2 linked regions of the Ovis aries genome follow. The protein of the gene in region 2 purifies or fractionates together with the protein of the main gene of each other region. This does not show direct contact. Links are inferred from orthologs where the notes say so. Each region holds a gene or a part of one and is shown on either strand. Other genes may lie near its edges.

Evidence for each region.
Region 1: the proteins of ANKRD46 (region 2) and ATRN purify together in Homo sapiens (co-immunoprecipitation; 3 studies listed by BioGRID and IntAct, with this or other methods). This does not show direct contact. The link is inferred for Ovis aries from reciprocal best matches to the Homo sapiens genes ANKRD46 and ATRN.

What each region holds. Positions count from the first base shown.
Region 1 is NC_056066.1:51,355,628-51,359,148, reverse strand, and holds part of ATRN (attractin), read left to right. Parts: intron 1-326; coding exon 327-544; intron 545-3,521. UniProt on the Homo sapiens protein: Involved in the initial immune cell clustering during inflammatory response and may regulate chemotactic activity of chemokines. May play a role in melanocortin signaling pathways that regulate energy homeostasis and hair color.
Region 2 is NC_056062.1:76,762,061-76,765,581, forward strand, and holds part of ANKRD46 (ankyrin repeat domain-containing protein 46), read left to right. Parts: intron 1-1,184; coding exon 1,185-1,522; intron 1,523-2,680; coding exon 2,681-2,839; intron 2,840-3,521.

The sequences.
Region 1 (3,521 bases), on a different chromosome or scaffold from region 2:
TTGTACTGTGCATTAAATTTCTATATGCACTCATCTCTTTCTTATTGGTCTGTTTTCATTACACAGTTTTGATTAGAGAGCCTTTATCTATGCTAGCAGCCAGAAGAATAGATAGGTTATTGTAACTGTTCTGACTAGTCATAGGCCATTGTGAAAGGTTGGAATTTGGGAAGTAAGGTATAAGAGTGATTTTTGAGATCTTGAAAGATTACTTTTTACAGGACTTTTGATATGTGAGGTTTGTCTAAAGATTATAAAAAGTGTATCATGCATTTGTTTATGTAGGTTTCCAGTAAACTCTTTTTCTCTCTTTTTTTTTCTTTTAGAACCATGTATGTATTTGGTGGTTTTAATAGTCTCCTCCTCAGTGACATCCTAGTATTCACATCGGAACAGTGTGAAGCACACCAGAGTGAAGCTGCTTGTCTTGCAGCAGGACCTGGTGTCCGGTGTGTGTGGGACACAGGGTCATCTCAGTGTGTCTCCTGGGAGCTGGCACCTGAAGCACAAGAAAAGATAAAGTCAGAATGTTTTTCTAAAAGAAGTATGTTTTTTTTTTCCTCTTCTTAAAATGTAGTTAATTTGAAATCTTTTTATCTCAATTGTGAAGGCACTTATCTTATGTGAACTTTCAGTGTTCGTTTTATTATCCAAAATTATTCGAGTAATAACATAGGCAAATGCTTTATGGATGTTTGAAAATTGGTTTGTAAACATTTGTGTAGTGGATGGAAACATGCCATGTCTGCTGTTTGCTAATGATGAAGAAAAAACATTTTTAACATTGCCTAGACTTTGTATACCTACTCTAGAGGAAAAGGAAAGTGAAGTCACTCAGTCATGTCCAACTCTTTGCAACTCCATGGACTGTAGCCTGCCAGGCTCCTCCGTCCATGGGATTTTCCGGGCAAGAATACTGGAGTGGGTTGTCATTTCCTTCTCCAGGGAATCTTCCCAACACAGGGATTGAACCTGAGTCTTCTACGTTGCAGACAAACTCTTTACCATCTGAGCCACCAGGGAATCCCCTTTTCTACCAACTTCAGAACCTAGATGTTTATTTCTGCACTGTCCCCATATGTTAGCTACTAGCAATCTGTGATTATTAAACACTTGGAATGAGACTGGTGTGGCTGAAGAAATGAATTTTTATATTTTAACTAAATTAAAAACTACATGTGGGGACTTCCCTGGCGATCCAGTGGTTAAGACTCTGCTGTTCTGCAGCAGGGGACACAGGTTACATCTCTGAACAGGGAACTAAGATTCTGCATACTGGCAGCCAAAAAGAAATAAAAAATAAAAACTACATGTGGTTAGTGGCTACCACATTGAATTATGCAGTTCTGACATTAAGGATAAGATTCAGTTCAGTTCACTTCAGTCGCTCAGTCATGTCCGACTCTGCGACCCCATGAATCGCAGCACGCCAGGCCTCCCTGTCCATCACCATCTCCCGCAGTTCACTCACACTCACATCCATTGAGTCCGTGATGCCGTCCAGCCATCTCATCCTCAATTGCCCCCTTCTCCTCCTGCCCCCAATCCCTCCCAGCATCAGAGTCTTTTCCAGTGAGTCAACTCTTCGCATGAGGTGGCCAAAGTACTAGAGTTTCAGCTTTAGCATCATTCCTTCCAAAGAAATCCCAGGGTTGATCTCCTTCAGAACGGACTGGTTGGATCTCCTTGCAGTCCAAGGGACTGTCAAGAGTCTTCTCCAACACCGCAGTTCAAAAGCATCAATTCTTCAGCGCTCAGCCTTCTTCACAGTCCAACTCTCACATCCATACATGACCACAGGAAAAACCATAGCCTTGACTAGACAGACCTTAGTCGGCAAAGTAATGTCTCTGCTTTTGAATATACTATCTAGGTTGGTCATAACTTTTCTTCCAAGGAGTAAGCGTCTTTTAATATCATGGCTGTAGTCACCATCTGCAGTGATCCTGGAGCCCCAAAAAATAAAGTCTGACACTGTTTCCACTGTTTCCCCATCTATTTGCCATGAAGTGATGGGACCAGATGCCATGATCTTCGTTTTCTGAATGTTGAACTTTAAGCCAACTTTTTCGCTCTCTTTCTCTTTCATCAAGAGGCTTTTAGTTCCTCTTCACTTTCTGCCATAAGGGTGGTGTCATTTGCATATCTGAGATTATTGATATTTCTCCTGGCAATCTTGATTCCAGCTTGTGTTTCTTCCAGTCCAGCGTTTCTCATGATGTACTCTGCACTCATCTCACATGCTAGTAAAGTAATGCTCAAAATTCTCCAAGCCAGGCTTCAGCAATATGTGAACCGTAAACTCCCTGATGTTCAAGCTGGTTTTAGAAAAGGCAGAGGAACCAGAAATCAAATTGCCAACATCTGCTGGATTGTGAAAAAAGCAAGAGAGTTCCAGAAAAACATCTATTTCTACTTTATTGACTATATCAAAGCCTTTGACTGTGTGGATCATAATAAACTGTGGAAAATTCTAAAAGAGATGGGAATACCAGACCACCTAACCTGCCTCTTTAGAAATCTGTATGCAGGTCAGGAAGTAACAGTTAGAACTGGACATGGAACAACAGTCTGGTTCCAAATAGGAAAAGGAGTACGTCAAGGCTGTATATTGTCACCCTGCTTATTTAACTTCTATGCAGAGTACCTCATGAGAAATGCTAGACTGGAAGAAACACAAGCTGGAATCAAGGATAAGATTAAGAGGGCTAATCCAGAAATGCTGTGTTGAAGTAGATTGTTCTAATAGATAGAGGTAGAGTTACTGTCTTTGCAAAGTATTATTCTTTTCTAACCTCTCTAGTTGAGCACAGCAGTGATGGCAAGGCAGGCAGTTGCTGAAGATGAGCAGTGATCCCTGCTTCTAGAACCACCCCTTGTATTGTCCAAGTTTTCTTTACCTTACCTTCTCAGCTTCTTATTACCCTTTTTTTTTCCTGACAGTCAGCACAGTGCAATACAGTGAAGTCATATGTGGGAAAGTCTTTTAAAAGTAAGAAAAATGTCTCTGCAAATTATTTTTTCACTTCAGTTTATTTAAAGTATCTTGATTGAATTTCTTAACTATTAGGGTTACCATGATATAGTAGTTACTATGTGAGTTATGATGGACAGAGGCAGCTTTCAACTGTCCTGGAATGTTCCAAATTAAACTGAACATAAATCCTCAGTAAGACCATCCAGTCAACTTTCCAGGTTCATTGGTGGTCTTGTGAGTGCTAGAGAACCAAGATGACCAGAACTTTTTAGGGCTAGTCACCATCTCCTAAAAGGGATAAAAGCAGTGAAGTAGCTATTTTTTAACCATATGTTAAAAAGTTCAAATTAAATGTGCAGGTTTATAGGAAATAGTATTTAATTCCCTTAGATGATCCATTATGATCTCATCTCCAGTGTCACCTTCCTGGTTTACTCTGCTTTCTGTGTGGGCCCAGGCCGTGGAGTGATAGCAAGGGCAGGGAGAGCAGCCTCAGGAGCAGGTGGCTAGGATCTTTGTGAGGGTGCGCCCTGCCTTTTCTTGT
Region 2 (3,521 bases):
CTTTAACTCCTTAGTAAAGTTTCTTTTGTCAGGCTCTAACTTTTTCTTAAACGAATCAAGGAAGAGATGGTTGCAGGTGGGGTAGAGATGCACACGCATGCTTGTACACTGAGAGACCCGAGAGATTGCTAGGGGCAGGGAGTGTCAGTGAAAGAGGTGTGGACAAACCCGTTGGTGAAGTGAGTCTACTCGGATGGATGCAATATTAGCATGGACACAGCTATTCCCATGGAGACCTCATCTTTCCATCTTCAGACAGTGGGCGTTTGGCAAAATCAGGTAGCTAGATAACCATAGAATAACCAAAGCAGAATAGGATCAGTACTGTAAAAAAGATGGACATTCTTAATTTCATGATAGGTCTCGTTTTTAAATTTAGTTTGCTGCTTTCCTTAGCTTTTCTCTTTCTATTAAAATTTGACCTCTGTGCTCTAAACAGCATTTGAAAGTGAAACTGACAGTCACTCCGTCGTGTCCAACTCTTTGCAACCCCCTGGACTGTAGCCCGCCAGGCTCCTTTGTCCTTGGGACTTCCCAGGCAAGATACTGGAGTGGGGAGCCCTGCTTTCCACCAGGGGACCTTCCCGACCCAGGGATCGAACCCACATCTGCATCTCCTGCAGTGGCGGGCAGACTTTTTACCCACTGAGCCATCAGGGAAGCCCCAGACAGCATCAAGCAGGTCCTTACGGAGTGTGAATTAAGTTAACTGTCTTTTTTCATGCTGATTTAGTTAACTTTTGAGCACATGATTCTGTTTTACCGTATAGAATATCTCAAGTACAGTAAGAAGCAAATATATGAAAGAGAACTACTGTGTGTGCATGTGAGTGTGCGTGTAAGGAACTTCCTGTCTGTGTCTTCTGACAATGTAATAAAGCTAAACCTAAGCACTTAATGTCTTGCTTTACTTTAAAAATATCTCAGTCTTTTTATATGATGAAAACTGCAATCGGGCTTTATGATAATTTAATTGCAATTTTGATCCAGCAGACATGGGAAAACTTAGACATTTTAATGGAAAATAAGATATAATTGATAACTCTGATGTTTCTCTTTGGTGAAGTCATTTATTAGAGGCGGGAGACCAAGAAGAATAAGAAATAGTACTTTTCTAAATGACTTCACTCTCTTGATTTAGTTTGGCTTCTCTGAATCTCAACTCACCTCATGTTTCTTTACAGGCACATTCCATCCACCACATCCGAACAATGTCCTACGTTTTTGTAAATGATTCTTCTCAGACTAATGTACCCTTGCTGCAGGCCTGTATTGATGGAGACTTTAACTACTCCAAGAGGCTTTTGGAAAGTGGCTTTGACCCAAATATCCGCGACAGCAGGGGCAGAACAGGCCTTCACCTCGCAGCAGCCCGAGGGAATGTAGACATCTGCCAGTTGTTACATAAATTTGGTGCTGATCTCCTGGCCACTGATTATCAGGGAAACACGGCTCTTCATCTCTGTGGCCATGTGGATACTATTCAATTCTTGGTTTCCAATGGACTCAAAATTGATATTTGGTAAGTTCTGTGGTTTTTGAAGTCTCGTCACTTCCTCCCATTAGCCTCTCAACCAGTGGTCTACTCTTGAAATCTATCGATTTTGTTTCCTCATTGATCAAGTGTAGTGACAAGCTCAGAAAGGTATTGAGGACAATGAGTGAAGGAACAGGAGCCTGACTTCTAGATTTGTGCTGAAGCAATGTAAAGTTTTCTATGAAAATAGTGGCTAAGTTCTGCTACTAATTAATTAGGTATTATAAGACAAGGGAAAAAGAAGAACTAACATTTGTTGAAAATCTATTATGACCTGGGCACTGCGTTTACTGTGTTAGCTCATTTACCCTTCAGAATGAATAGCTCTTAAGTATTCGTTTTATAGATGAAATAGCTGAGACAAGAATTCTGGGTTAAATGACTTAACACAGTTGGAATTTAAAACTAGTTCCACCTGGTTCCAAAGCTTGTTTGCCTTCTATCATGTAATATACCATGCTAGCTTCATTATCTCTCTGGACTCAGAGTCCTTCTTATACTGAACAATTTGAAGTAGTGTTTTTTGTTTTGTTTTTGTGATACCTTGTCTCTTGAGTAGGAATAAAATCAGGTCACTTTAAAAAGAAACCTTGACCTTTAAGCTACATTTTTTATGCCTAATTTATTGGTGCTATAATGTCCCTAAATCCGAATAAGACAGTAAATGATACTGCTACTATAGAACAAAATGTGGTAGGAATTAACTATAAGGTTCAGTGTTAGTTGGGCTTTCTCCTGTTGTTAAATGGTTAGGTGAACCAAAGCAGATTATTTGATTGCTTTTGAGCTTGGGTTTTTTTTCCTTTTGGTTCTTAGACATTTTAAAAAATAGACACTCTTCTCATGAAATATATAAATGTCAGATAAGAATGAATCTAGAATCTAGACTTTTCCAATTAGTTTCTAGGAAGATGCCCTTTTTTTCTTTATTCTCATTTATCTACTCTTAACTAGTATATATGTTTCCTTTTTCCTAAAAGAAAAAAAAGGTTAACTCAAAATTCAGGCTCCATCTCAACCACTGGTTCTGCTCTGGTTTTAAATTTTGAGTTAATGGGGCCCATGCCTTCCTCACTGAGATCTCCACAAATGGCTAATAACAGTGTAGTGTAACAGCTATTTTTATTTTTATGAACTTTTTAGCAACCATCAAGGTGCTACACCCCTAGTTCTGGCAAAGCGCAGGGGAGTGAATAAAGATGTCATCCGATTGCTGGAATCGTTGGAAGAACAGGAGGTAAAAGGATTTAACAGAGGAACTCACTCAAAACTAGAGACCATGCAGACAGCTGAGAGTGAAAGGTACTTAAGATTTCATTTTTTTAAGAGGCAAGTCACTTCAAGTGAATCTTTTTTTGTGGTTTGTTTCTTTTGTCTTTTTTAATGTATTTGTTTTTAATTGGAGGATAATTGCTTTACAGTATTGTGCTGGTTTCTGCCATACATCCACATGGATCAGCCATAGGCATCCACATGTCCCCTCCCTCTTGAGCCTCCCCGACACCACCGCCCCGCCATCCTACCTCCCAGGGTGTCACAGAGCACCAGTGTGAGCTCCCTGCGGCAGGTCTCAAGTCCCCGCCAGCCCTCTGCTTTCTGTGTGATGACATACATTTCAGTGCTCCTCTCTCAGTCCGTCCCGCCCCCCCCTTCCCCCTCTGTGGCCACAAGCCTGTTCTCTGTGTCTGTGTCTCCGTTGCTCCCCTGCGAGTAGGATCGTCAGTACCGTCTTTGTAGAGTCCATTTACATGTGTTAACATACACGGTATTTTTCACTTTCTGACTTACTTCACTCTGTTTAATAGGCTCTAGGTTCATCTGCCTCATTAGAATTGACTCAAATGCGTTCCTTTTTGTAGCTGAGTAATATTCCATCTTGTATATCTTCTATAGCTTCTTTATCCATTCATCTGTCTATGGACATCTAGATTCTTCCATGTCCTAGCTGTTGTAAATAGTGCTGCAATGAACATTGGGGTGCATA